2 linked regions of the Neodiprion lecontei genome follow. The protein of the gene in region 1 interacts with the protein of each later gene in a pairwise test. Links are inferred from orthologs where the notes say so. Each region holds a gene or a part of one and is shown on either strand. Other genes may lie near its edges.

Evidence for each region. The genes of interacting proteins can lie anywhere in the genome.
Region 2: the proteins of prefoldin subunit 5 (region 1) and prefoldin subunit 6 interact in a two-hybrid assay, tested with the Caenorhabditis elegans proteins (2 studies listed by BioGRID). The link is inferred for Neodiprion lecontei from reciprocal best matches to the Caenorhabditis elegans genes pfd-5 and pfd-6.

Annotation. Positions count from the first base shown.
Region 1 is NC_060262.1:34,389,608-34,395,955, reverse strand, and holds prefoldin subunit 5, read left to right. Parts: upstream 1-2,982; 5' UTR 2,983-3,107; coding exon 3,108-3,312; intron 3,313-3,839; coding exon 3,840-4,126; 3' UTR 4,127-4,675; downstream 4,676-6,348. Other genes in the region: AP-3 complex subunit mu-1, read right to left, coding at 33-212, 285-398, 499-658, 737-971, 1,110-1,294, 1,377-1,411; trypsin-3-like, read left to right, coding at 5,725-5,988, 6,080-6,220. UniProt on the Caenorhabditis elegans protein: Binds specifically to cytosolic chaperonin (c-CPN) and transfers target proteins to it. Binds to nascent polypeptide chain and promotes folding in an environment in which there are many competing pathways for nonnative proteins.
Region 2 is NC_060266.1:6,915,640-6,924,028, reverse strand, and holds prefoldin subunit 6, read left to right. Parts: upstream 1-3,382; 5' UTR 3,383-3,675; coding exon 3,676-3,739; intron 3,740-3,821; coding exon 3,822-4,017; intron 4,018-4,421; coding exon 4,422-4,542; 3' UTR 4,543-7,182; downstream 7,183-8,389. Other genes in the region: methylosome protein 50, read left to right, coding at 388-560, 849-1,041, 1,156-1,342; glutamine synthetase 2 cytoplasmic, read right to left, coding at 7,560-8,389. UniProt on the Caenorhabditis elegans protein: Binds specifically to cytosolic chaperonin (c-CPN) and transfers target proteins to it. Binds to nascent polypeptide chain and promotes folding in an environment in which there are many competing pathways for nonnative proteins.

The sequences.
Region 1 (6,348 bases):
CAAAGCTTAAAAGATTGCATAAAATTGCTTACAGTTCGTCCAACAGTTTGTTTAGGCCCAACTGTAATATCCAATCTGCCGCCACCAGATTCCTTTAGGCTTATATTATGCCTTACGTATATAGGAATTGCCACAATACTTTGCGACCCGATATGGTAGGACAGAAGTCGGAAGTTACCATCTGGTGGAATGAAGGACAATATTCTCTCGGACTAAAATAGTATAAGTTATTCTGCCTGTGAGTCAATATTGTTTACATTTATGTTATAAATGTAGACACAAACCTCCCATCGCTTGAACCTAACACATGGATGGAAGCTGACATCATCAAATAATCTTGGATTCATGAATGAAAGTGTGAGATCAGGCATGCCACTCAATTTAATACAGCAATCAATCTGAAAATTAATATTGCCTTGTTATCATATGATTCATTAAGAGCTTCCATTTCTGGTTTATGAGAATTTCTTTTACAAAATATAACTTTACGATTCATACATAGCCTTGGATTTCTGCAAAAACTGTTGCCCCAGTTTTGTCAATTATAGCATCAACTTCCTCAACAACATCGAAGTAAGCTTCATTATTTGTGTATTTAACACCCGTTCTTCGCCAGGGTACATTTGACAATTGGCCACTTGGCAAGATTGCACTCACACTGAAAATTGTACAATATGGTAAGCGACTGTCAGTATTACTGTACTCATAGCAGTAGTAGTAATGTTATTTTACTTACTTAGACTTCCCTGTTACGGTATTAGCTATCGTTCTTAAAATATTGGGTGGTTTAATCAGTTCTTTGAGGATATTTGATTCTGTCGCCAATGGAAAACCATTGTCTAACATTTCGTCCAACAATTCATAAACAACAACATAATTCTCTTTTATTATTGTTTCTGTACATTCACTGAAGTAGTCTTCAAACGTGTCTACTACTCTGTGTAAAAACTCGATAACAAACAGTGGCGGAACTGAAACAGTCGATAAGTATGTAATATTTACCAGCAGCGTGAGAATTATAACTGTAATTAACCAATGTAACAAAAATGATGAGATCACATTAAAATTAGCAAAGATATAATACTATGAAGCATTTAGCAACAGCGTACCTTCCGTCATACACACAGCGACAAAAAACATATTGCAGCGATATATGCTGATCAAATAATGATGCGGTGTTGCAATAACTGGTGGCGTGTCTTCAGGTGAAGAAACTCTACGTTGTTGGTCAAAAAAATAATCACACAGGGATCGCGCGACCGCACTTTTCCAATGTTTTTCCATAAATACATCTCTGAAAGGTGACAAATTTTTAGGCTATGTCACGGTTATTTCTCAGGTTTATGAACTAACTTGTTATATAGAAACAAACTTACCCTGATGAATTTATTATAAATAAACTGTGAATCATTTTCTCCTTGATGGCTGAGAAGAATAACTCAACTCGGAGTTATTCTGAGGAAACTTTAATATGTTGACAGGTAAGTGACACTTGGATGGTTTGAGACACGGTGAGTTTATCTCGTATTCTTAAGCCTCGTTCACACCCCCATTTTGCAGTACAGATATCTGCAGCAAATGAATATCTGGCGTGTCTCGTAACGGTCAAGTCAATATGTAGATCCTGGTAACAAAATGCGCCGGTTCATTGACTGTTGTAAAGAATTCGATAGCTTTGATATATTGGTGAATTTTAGTGACTGATGCGAGAACGGTTCCTAACTTTTCGCACTTTTCCAGCCAAAATTGACAATATTTTCAGCAAGTATTTGAAAACTTGCTGATACTGATGAACTATCCATTTTATCGAATTGCAGTAAGGATACTAGATATGTACGAATACATTAATTGGTTTTATTATGACTTCGCAATAGTTACTGTAAAAATGCTCATGTCATCATTTCTGTGTTCTCCCAATTAATTGGAAAACACTTGAAAATTACTTCTACAGCAAAAGCTTGTTATCTCGTTTGTATACGTAAACGGCAGGACAGCAAAATTGTGCGTGAGTTCATCATGTAAAAATCTTGATTTGTCAAAAAGTGATGCAAAGCTCGGGCGGCGGGTGAAAAAATCTCGGACCCAAAAACTTGTTGCCTCTGAAATGACAGCTATAAAAATTATGGTTGCTCACTGGATTTTGTTCAAAAAACACTAAAATTAATGATTTCAGAAGCTGTTTCGATATATTATAAAGTAAAAATAATCGATTATGCATAGTCTAAAGTTGCTAGGAGCTGTGGATCAAAAGTCACAGGCGAAAAACGGAGAAATTCTCCCAAATTTTGGCGCACATTTGCAGTTGTTGATCCAAAAGAGTTCTGGTTATCATTTTTGGACTGAAAAAGTTTACCGTTCCCAGAAATCGCAAGCAACACTAAGGCCTTACAGTTTGTTCGAAAAATTACGGGCGATTTTAAAAATCGCTAGAATCAATTATTTGCAGTGGTATTTCGCGGAAGAATATTGCAGTGTTCTGCTATGCCGACTTGATTTTACGTCCAGATCCTACAAGACGAGTAGGCAGAGAGGAGTAGGTAAGTGCAGGTTAGTAGAATTATCCCTAAATCCCCCCAGACTCGGCCAACCATTACGAAACAAAACCCAAGGCTAGCAGTCTTTGCGATTTTTCCTAGCTCCATGGGTTTTTCGAATTTTGTAGCCTAGCAGTGTACAGAAGGAGGGCACTCTCTAATGGACTGCAAATAAGGGTACATAAAATAACCGACGTGGCCCTGATCGATATTAATTAATTACATAATTACACTTATTACATTTTAAACCATAGTCAGTTGGGCAACTTACGTTTCACAGCGCTAGCACCGCGAGCACTATTTGTAGCCAAAATCGGCACACGTCTTATAACACCAAGATTCCCTCCTACACGCTCCATATTCTTAGCTGTTCTGGACGTCGCTTACATAGACGTGTAGGTGCGCCATCTACGATCACCGGATCCAAGCTCATGCTCCACGGCTGAAATCTACGTAACGGGAGCAATGCCTATCCCGGTATGGTCATAGATCGAGCAGTCGAATCGTGCGGCAATTCAGAATTTATATGCTCAATCATTCGCTTGACAAACAGCGTAAAATAACGTCGAAATCATGTCGCAAATATCTGCAACCGAGGGCCCGATGTTACAGCAGATTGACCTGACGAAGTTGAATCTCCAGCAGCTTACACAATTGAAGCAACAATTGGATCAGGAACTTGGTGTTTTCCAGGACTCGCTGCAGACCCTAAAAATCGCTCAAAACAAGTTCCAAGAGTCCGGAACTAGTCTTGAGAAGCTTACCCCGTCCGCTAAGGGTAAGCCTTCCTTAAACCACTTCATTTTCTCCAATCCCTAGCTAACCGATTATAATTTGGAGGTTATGAGCCATGCATCATTCACGCGTCTTTAAGATTGCCATTACCTTTAAATCCTATTCCTGATGTCAGTCAATCAGGCAAGACCCTTTTGAGATTTTTAACTTTCTCAAATTTTCTTTTCCTCAACAAGAAGTTGATCTGAATTCCAATCCCATTACCACTGTGTTCAGATTTTTTTTCTTCACTGAGCTAGGTTTCCCTGTGCCTATTTATCTGCAGGGTATTCTTTCTGCAATATTTGCAATGCCAGTAACAATTTCAATCCACGAACTTACTTTATTTACTTAATGGATCATGATAATTATAAGCTCCTTATCATTGTCTCACATTTGATCTAGGATTTTTTAATATTGATTGACTGGTATGCAATCTACTTTTTTAACAATATATAGTTTATTGTATGATCTCTAATCTCGCAGGTTCAAGTCTTGAAAATATTGATCAGTATCAATTTTGTTTTGCAGGAAAAGAGATACTCGTGCCACTGACAGGTTCGATGTACGTTACGGGGAAATTAGCTGATACAGAGACGGTGATAGTTGATATTGGGACTGGGTATTACGCGCAGAAGGATATCCAAGGTGCGAAAGATTATTTCAAAAGAAGAGTGAATTATGTAACGGAGCAGATGGAGAAAATTCAACAAATTGGACTTGAAAAGAGTAAAATAAGGGAAGCTATTATGGATGTAATGGAGATGAAAATACAAGGACAGATGTCAACGCAAAAGGAACTTGCAGAGACTGCATAGAGATATCTATGTGACATAATTAAGTTACATTCATTTTAATTCATGCCCTAATTTTATGCCTTTTGTCTGTATTTTTAATTTAACTCTTCAAAATTGTTCTAGAATATATCTTCACTGTACATTCGGTGTTACGTTATCAACTTGTTTAACACTGCTTCAAGTCATTGAGCTATACATTTTCTTACACATAAAATGATACAAAGTTTTGTTTGTACACAGAGCACAAGTAAAATAATAATTGCTAATAACAAAATCGTTATGCCCCAATTTTTGTCTACAAAATATTTTTACTCCACAGTCAGCGAGGGAATAGCAAAGACCTTATTCGAATTTGATGCGCGATATTAAACGTTGATTTTATTCTGTACCAATAAAGTGATTTTTTTTGTGTGAATAATTATGCGGAATATTATCATGCAGGCATTACATATTCGTTATTCACCAAGAATAATTTTTTTTGAGAATATTATATTTTGATCTCATAGCGTATTTAATACAATTGTATATTGATGCATAATAAAGTATCCTCCGTAATTTTGATGTTTGAAACGAGTCGAGATTCATTGAATTTAAACATTTGATTGCGTTTAATTTGTTCAATCAAGATCTGGCAGCAACGTGTAGAAATTAGCCACTTTACTGGCCCATTTTAAAGTAATATAGGTAAACATAGTAGATGCAACTTCATGATTATAGAAAGTATGATGTTTATTTTTATGTAGTGTCAAAAAGTAATCATGGCCATACTTGCAAATAGAAGATACCTCATGCCAAATTTTCCCTTGGCCTCTCGAGTATGAATGCGAAGCGAATTTTAACGGTATTGCACCTGTGTGATTTTCTATCCTTCATCCATTTAAAGCCTACGGGATCAAAGTCTGCAGCTCTCAAAGGGCATGGTTTGGACATCCGTGTTGTAGGCGGAAAACGAACCAGCATAGAAGACTTTCCATTCATAGTATGCATGCGTGTTTTCTTATTTAATCGTCAGCTCAATCAAAACCACATACTCTGGATACGTGAATAAGAAACTGTTGGAAAAATCTAATAAAATTAAGCAGTCAACACATGTAATATATATATAAGACATTATCGATTCCGATGCGTGTTGTTCGTCTAGGTTTCGATTCAACGACGATATCAGCGTCATTTATGCGGTGGCAGTTACATCCTTCCAAAGTTCATTTTATCAGCAGCACATTGTATGGTTTCGTAAGTGAGTTCGAAATTTGGCTAACGTCTTTAGTTTGTGGGACGAAAATAATAATGAAAATCTGTTTATCTAACGCCGTTGAGGTTTAATTTTATCCCCTTTTCACATTGCAGAAAATTGAGGCGCGGAAAATTTAAACTTATAAATCCACGAGTGTTTGTAGCCGTGGCTGGTTCCACTGGAGTTAAGAATCTTTACGGCAGTACAATACAGATAAAATTGATAAATTTAGTGATACCTCATCCGTTGTACAACCCAAGAACCATGCATCACGATATTGGCCTCTATCGAGTAAGATTTCGTTGACGGACTCTATTTCATTGCATTCACGAAGTGCATAAGTAGTACCTATAGAGCATAATTTGAACGTAAATACAGTGATAAAATGATTCACGAAAGAAAGTTTTTTTCTATTTTATTGTTCGTTTGCCACGTTTCCGAATCGTTGTTACACGAGTTTTCACCTTCTCGCTCTTTCAACCGTCTCACCTGCATTATTGTCCATTATCCCAAGCTCACGGAGCCCTTCAGGATAACCCGATTTGTCTATCCATCTCCTATTCCAAATTCTATTGACGATACGCTTGCCCAAACCAAATTTCCAATCTGTACCGTCGTGGGCTGGGGGCGGCTGAAGCCAGGTTCGGATGTACGTTATCACTCTCCGTATTGTATATTCAATTTACGTTTTTGTACAAGAATGAGGTACCTGCTGAAAGACACTCAATATTTATATACAGGTAGGCTACGGTGATGTGCTAAGGAAGGTTCGAGTGCCATTGATAACAGTCGAAAAATGTAGGCACCAAGTTTATTCGGGTGTCAGGAGAGACAGTCAACTATGCGCAGGTGTTGACGAAGGGGGCATTGATAGTTGCCAGGTGAAAGTCTTTTCAGATTCTCCGCAAACAAATTATACTTTCGAATATGCGAAAAATTCCATAATTTGTTGGGGACATCAATCAACTCCGACTTGGTCTTTTAAGCATTCATCTTTTTCCATTTCTCA
Region 2 (8,389 bases), on another chromosome or scaffold:
AGCGATCAATATAAGTTACCTTTAATAAATTCCAAAAACTCAGATCTGTTCATCTTATGCTGTGGATGAAGATTCTAGATTTTGAATCTCATTTTACTTGGTCCAAACTGCTCACAATGTGATTCAATTCTGTGGGCTTCCATTTGTTAAAAGTTACTTGTAACTGATATTCGTTAATCTTACAGCAGGTGCTTCTTTGTATGTTACAAGAGCAGTTGTATAGTTTATGGTTTTTGCAACATTAGTTAATTACTGCGCGCATGCTTGAACATTAACAGTATTACTTATTGCAATAAATCATACTCAACCAATGATGCTAATATTTGGTTGATTCATATCAAAATATGAATTTGTATAATGTAAATGAAATTTCGTTAATTTTTCCAGCATAAAAGTTTGGGATACGGTTGAGTTGTATTCCAGTCATACTTTCAGTCCGGCTCACACAGATACAGTGACTTGCGTACAAGCGCAACCCAAATCCATAGATATCTTTGCATCTACTTCTCTTGATCACGATGCATTACTGTGGGATCTCCGACAACCAAAGCCAGCCAGCTGTATGTATGCAGTTTATGAATCCCTCTTTGTTAATGAATCTAGATTTTTGATCATGGTCATCGACCTTTGTCATCGACTTTTGCTCTGCAAAGTTTTTTGAAAAATAACTAACCTGAAACACTTTACACAAATATTCAACTTTAGCATTGATTTCAATTTTGTAATTATCAGACATAAGCCACAAAGTGTCTTAACTGATGCGAAGTGCTTAATTTCAGATACTTGATAATATTTCACATTCGTTTTCCTCTGTAACATTAGTGACTGTATCATAATACTATTCCAAGGTATAATCAAAAATGTCGAATGTGGACTGACTGCAGCAGCATGGAATCCGAAAAATGTACATGAACTTGTGATTGGAGATGCAGATGGTAGAATTTTAGTGCTTGATGTCAGGCAATCAAATAGTGAACCTGTTTTCCAAAACCCTCGAGCTTTTTCTAGAGGAGTTTACAGGCTTTTATTCAATTCAGCCAGGTTTGTGTGAACCAATTTCGCTTGATTCATTCCCAGTGGCTATGTACATGAGTATAATGTTTCTACAACACTGAAATTATTTTTATACTTGCCCTAATTATTCAATTTGCATAGAAATGACCAATTTGCTGGATGCTGCGATAGTACAGAGGTGAAGGTGTTCGATACAAGCCACAACATGGAAGTGATATACGAAAATAAGAACCATCGTGACTTTGTTCGTGGATTGGCATGGGACCAAAATTGTCTACTAACAGCTTCCTGGGATAACACTGTTCTGGAACATGCGATATCTTCTTGATGTTGATTTGCACATTAAATTACTCGATACAGAATCGACAACTATGCAAGTCATTCGTTATGTCGAGATGTTGCCTCGTTAATTGTCATCTGAATCAGTGCCCTAACAATTTGAAGTTACTGTTTATTTCATACATTTTTAATAAATGCTTACAACATTGTATATACTATTGTATCATTGGTTTCGTTTTAACAATTTTAATACATGGTTGTAATTTCATACATACAACATACCAGTATTCATGAACACAAATAATAACTTCCCAACATGCCATTCTTATGCAATCTCGAGTAAGCTTACATCATTCTGAACTGTGTTAATATTTTTAATCGTAAGGTAATTGAAACGATCATCCCTTTCCCGATTTGTCTCAAAAACGCGATTGAACATGCACTGTCCTTGTGTCAATTTCTGACACATGACACTAAGTTGTTTCATTGGCCTATTCCGTTAGATCCAACCACTACAGTCACTAAAAAGTGTGATCACTGAAATATAGAAATATATTTCATAGCGTTTTCTACTGGTTGCACTGGCTCGAACAGGGGGCATTCGTTCCGTGCATGCGTCGCCCGGCATCGGGGCAAACCTTCTGAGTGGAACACGCCGTAAAACGTATAAAGGCAGACTAGGGGGCTTATTACGGTTCTCGAATCGAGTGAAAATGACGAAAGTGACTGGCTCGCTCTATTACGGTGAATCTCACGAGGTGAAAAGACGTTATCCACATGAATAAACTCGACACGAAATTCGGTGTCGAGAATCGTTCTGCGCATGCTCGTGAGCGTAATTTGCTTGGATTTGCCTGAAAGTTCCATCGGTTTCATAAAAGAACGAAGATCACTCCATATTTGTTGGTTAAAGAGTAAAAGTTATTGATACGTGGGAACTTGTACAATGAATAATTTAGTGATCGTGATTATGCAAAATCGGGAAAATCGAATGCTCAGAATACGACGAACACTACGCGATGCCTCAGACCCATTCAATATAACTTATATATATTTATATTATTTATTACATATTTTATATATTACACTTCTGTCACGTTCATTTTCTTCAACAATTCTTTCTGACATTCACAACAACTTTTCTAGGTTATCTGACAAAATGGAGTCAACTTTCGTGAAAATGTGAGATCCCTATACCGGAAGTGCCTAGTTACTTCACATTTTCACTCGAGAGATCCGTAATAGAGTGACTAAACTCACGTGAGATGAAAATGTGAGAAGTGAGTAAACTCGCTCGAGAACCGTAATAAGCCTCCAAATCATAATTTCTCCTAAATCAGAAATAATGTGACGTTACTTGACTGACTGCGCGACTGTCAGTTTTTTCAAGCAAGTGATAAAGGAGCCAATTGAACAAACGCAACGGTAATTTTTTGTTTGTAAATATATGTCACAAATGTTAGGCACGAGCATACAGGGGCAAAAAAAATTGACAATTCCACTGAAAAGATAAAAATTAATAAGTAGCAAGTCGAGCTGTCCCAATCTCCTGAAATATACCTAGCAGTTAACCTCTAAAAGCTGAAAAAATGTGTATCCATACTTCGATATCGGACATGCTGTGGATTACTCCTAGGACATTTAAAATTTTGGGAATCTCTCCTCTATCTTTCGGCTCCAGCAAGTCATCATCACTGCTAGACGAAGATGAAATTAGATCTAATAAAAGAATTGCTGTCACAGCACCTACTTAGACTCTTTCACGATCGGCAGCCATAATTGCACTGCTTTGACACCGACTCCCGATTCAGGGCAATATTTTACGCACTCAGTGCCAAGTTCACGTACCCGAGCTGCCAGTGGAACACGCTGGAAATTAGTGGAAATACGAGTCTACCGCTAGTGCGCTCTCAGTTCACACTCAGTGCATCCAATGGAAAACGCTATCAGTGGTTTTGATTCGTGTCGGAAAATGACGTAAGAAAAGCTCCTTGGATCTAGTGTCAAACTTCTGGAATTGTCGGGGAGTGCTACTGCAACGTCATAGGCCGATGAACTAGGAAAATTACATTCGGTTGTACAGCCTGCGAATATTACTGTGACTCATACCTTATTGTCTTTCTTGCTTCACTATATTGTTAACAAGCTCTGTTTCAGTTCCACTCACAGTTTCACTAGATTTTTGATATACCAATCGACTTTTCCACCTACATTAAGTTGCTTCGGTTTCCGGAATTGCGTGATGTTTCGACCTAACCTAACATTTATAGAATCCTGCTAAGTTGTGGAAATTAGGGTATTACAGAAATAAATAATTGACCATCGCGTTATCGCAATTCTTGATTTAATTTCACAAGGTAATATCTACATTACTCAATTAAAATGGTTGATGAGATTCAAAAGAAACTTCAAGCTGAACTTGATAAATTTAAAATTGTTCAAAAAGGTAAGATCAACTCTTTCCATTAAAACACTGGATTGATTTTCTCTCGACTCATTAATTCGTTAGAAATATTTCTCGATATCAGATTACCACAAGGCTCTTCTACAACGGCAGCAACTCGATGGACAGTTAAATGAAAATACCGCTGTAAAACAAGAATTAGATCTTTTAAAATCAGGGAACGAGGTTTTTAAGTTAATTGGTCCGGTGCTAGTCAAGCAGGACTTGGAAGAGGCAAAGCAAAACGTTGTCAAAAGAATGGAGTACATTTCGGCCGAATTGTAAGTATCGCCTCAGATATTTCTAATAAAAATTTTAAACTTCAGTACAACATTAGGCAAAACAAGAGTATGAATACTTTGCAACGAAAGGCCATATACAAGATTCTTACTACCTTCGTTACGAATGCTAATTGAATAAATGAAGTCACCTTCATTCAGCGATGTTTGATTTCTTCCAAGTGTTGATTATCGGTCAAATACATTTGAAGTTTGCGAGTGTTTCAAGATTCACGTAAAGCTGAAACTAGCAGCCAAAGGTGCCAACGTTGACTAAAAGAAGGCATAGTGCCGAACAATCGTAAATCTGTCAATTTGATTGGAAAGCTGATACTTTCACAGAATTACAGATACATAAGTATAGTAATAAGACTTGCCAATCGAAGAGTGTTTAATATTGTTTTCAGAAAACGCACTGAAGATTTGATAGCAAACCTGGACAAAAAGCAGGATACTCACCGCGAGGCATTGGCTAAACTTCAACAATCCTTTCAACAGGCTCAATTGAAGGCAGCTATGAAGGCCTAAAAACGATCGGAAAATACATAATTGTTAATAATCTACTAAATAATTCACTACTGCTGTGTACGCTTTGAGATTATCTTGTCATCTGAAGTCCCTAATGTGAACGTTATAATTCTCATTCATATTTTTCATTAAATACATTAATTATCTAATACATAATTAGATCTAAATTTAATTTACTGACCTCGTTTAAAACCTCAATAAAGAATATACTTTTGAAAATTATAAAATCATAGATCCCTTGGAAAAATAATTAACAGTAGATCAAAAAGGTACCATTGCCTCTATTTAATAATCTAATCTTGAAGATGTTGAAAGGAATGTTTCAAAATTGAAATATTAAAAATATATGAAAACTATATATAAAAACTAAATAACTCAATTAAAAACTATAGAAGTAACTAGTTTTTGCTTCTATTTCTGTGCGAAAAAAGATCGTTTGTGGTTCTTCTTATTTCATGAAATTTAAATACTTCCATTAACAGAGTTCGACTTTCGTATTGATATTCGTAAATTGTGCTGTATAAAAGTCATTGTTCAGAATGCGAAACTGGCCAATCTCTTTTAATTCGTTGGAAAATTTCATTCAAAAATCCTACACGTTCAAAAAGCGTAGCCCACAATAAGGTCTACTTATTGTTGATCCGTTTGTATTTCTTCGTAGTGGTAGTTTATAAACGTTTAGTATTTAATACCCTCGATAAATAGAGCGAAATAATTTTCTCGCTGAATATTTGCAGTATGAAGGATTTATTGTCTACTGGTAAAACAACGGGCATTCTAATGATTGTTAAGATCGCATTCACATGTTTACAAGAGTCTTACATAAGTTCTCTGTCAACAACATATAGAATTGACACTTGTAAATAGATCATCCTGTTTACCAATTAAGTCACTGCAGATGTATCGTATAACGCAGTAAAAGAGTTGCGTAGTTTTTCGAATAAGAATCAAGTTGTACGGGAAGTTACGTTTGTTTACCAGCATTTATAATCGAAATATGTCGGCAGATAATTTGAATATTCTATTATGCGGAATCATATATTTCCCGATTAATCTATACTAGTAAACATCGCGGAATCATTTGAATTTTTACATATCTGAATTCTACCGTATAGGTAAGAATACTAAACAAATGCAAATATTTGTCATAAGACCTTGACGGCATTGGTATAATTACTGAAACATTTTTTTTCCCTTAGAATTGTTGATAAAAGTAAATTTTACCCAACGACTATCGGTGATTCATATTTTGGGATCAAATTTTTAGCAAAAAAAAGCAGTTATATAGGCTTCGTCAAATAAAAATATGCTATTAGTAAAATAAACAAACATGTAATATTATCCCGTAGTGTACTAATTTCTTTGCGAACCAAAATCTGACTAAGATGAGGAAACACGAGGATGCAATAAAGTGACCGCATTTTTATTCATAACTATCAAGTGCAAGGTCTTTAAAGTTTGGATATATCTCCGGTAGAAAAACTATGTTCGTAACATTTTTTACGATGGATTTGATAGGATCAGTTTCCGGCTAATCCGACGCCCACGACAACTCTTAACTTCATTCGTTTCCTCGTAATTTCTTTTCATTTTCTATTCCATTCGAAATTTGAATGGTCAAACAAGCTTTCAAGTCTTGCCCTATTGAATATACATCGTTATCGATAAATAATAAGCCGACGCAGTATTTATAAGCAGTCAAGTTTCGTTGTTATAATATATGCCGTGAGGTCTCGAATTTCTTATGATTTAAAATTTCAATGGGAGGACAGGCGAGTAATCGAATTGCTGGGTTTCGAAATGAATTACAGATCCGAGCACCGTTCTTTTTTGCTCATATATTTGTTTAATAGATAACATAACAAGCGGGTATCCGGCCCCAGTCGGTAGCGCGAACCTCCTCCTAAACATAGTAATTATTATCTTTATCGTGTATATAATATTTATAATATGGTAATAGTATAATGATTCGTATCTACAACGTTGATATAGAAAATATGTTTATACAAATAGGAAAGTATATATAATATATTATAATATAATATACATATTACAACGATTACGTACATAATTATATATAATATCTCAATATCATATTAAAATAGAATATTATTGTTGCCAATTGTATGACGCTGGTGCGCTGGCGCATATACATTGTATTATCAATTTTTATTATCTATATTCTTACATTTCGCGTGCGCGGCCGAGAGGTTTAATAGGATTTCACGTTAACGTTAGTTGGGCGTAATTAATTCTTTTGTTAGTATCAACGCGTCTTATTATTGTATACACATATCCTATATTCAATATTGACTCAAATTTGTGAATTATGTAAGGGTATTACACGCGTGTCTGACGCCAGGTTCGTGTATTTCATGGTCACGTAAGTTGGACGTGGGCACAACTGCTGACTTTCACTTTAGCATTTTATTTCAAGCCCTACGCGTCAATTGATATGCGCAGTTCAAAGATTCTTCAGGCGAATGGACCTCAGCCAAGACAGTTGAACTATGTTACGATATGGACGCAATAAAAATAACCCCGTCAATCCTGCTGGTCAAAGATCTATAAAATCGTGATATTAATTCCTCTTGATTAGTTCATAACCCTTCTCTAAGACAGATGCTAGAGGATGTGAAACGAATTAACGAAAAATTATTCATGTAAACTTCAACTGGCTTTCTGTGATTATTCCGGGAACGAACGTGGAGGTGTAGCTATAAAGCAATATGGCGACGAGAACCGAACTATCGGCAAAATATTTTATGTCAATTATGCGAATAGAAAACATATACAGACAACTTGATGCAATTTGCGAGGCTTTAATTTTTTCACATGCAGCCGATAACCTGTAAAAAATACGATAAAAGTGCTCATTAAAAATTAAATACGGGCCCCGAAATTAGGTTAACGTATTTTTTCGCCACCAGATGTCACAGCGTTACATTTCCATTCCCAATGATAAATCGTCGACCCCCCCCCCTCCCCGTATTGTACAATTTATACACCAAGTCCGATTACTCGTTTAGAACGCAAGTGCGAACAAGGGCGTCGATGACGGAATAAGGATCACAGTTACTACTGGGCCTCCTGTCCTCCAAGTACCCTTTCTTGTCCTCGGCGACGCCGCGAGGTATACGAATACTGACGTTCCTGTTCGCGACGCCGGCGCTGAAGTCGTGGATACTGCTGGTCTCGCACTTTCCGGTTAAACGGCGCTCGTTGTCCTTTCCTCCGCGTGGATCGTAGGCCTGGATGTGCCTGAGGTGCTTCTTGCTGAGGCGGTCGATGGCCCTCTCGATCTCGGCGATTCCGCCATCGGCGCGCATCGTCTTCGTCGAGAAATTGGTGTGGGCACCAGCGCCGTTCCACGCTCCATCGACGGGTTTCGGGTCGAGGGTCGCGATCACGCCGTACTCCTCGGCGATGCGGTGGAGGATGAACCGCGCCATCCAAAGGTCGTCTCCCCCCGATATACCGACGCAGGGACCGACCTGGAACTCCCACTGCGAGGGCATCACCTCGGCGTTTGTTCCGGCGATCTTCACCCCGGCGTAAAGACACGCTCTGTAATGAGCCTCGACGATTTCCCGCCCGATCACTCGGTCCGCACCGACACCGCAGTAGTACGGTCCCTGGGGTCCGGGGTAACCGTTCTTCGGCCAGCCCAACGGCCTGTTGTCGAAGTCGAGGAAGGTGTACTCCTGCTCGATACCGAACCACGGCTCCTGATCCTTCACGGCTTCCATCGATTGCATGGCGGCGAACCGCTTGTTACTTTCCGTCGGTGTCTTGTCCGGCTTGTAAGTCTCGCAGAGGACAAGCTTGTTGTCGCCTCTTCGGAAGG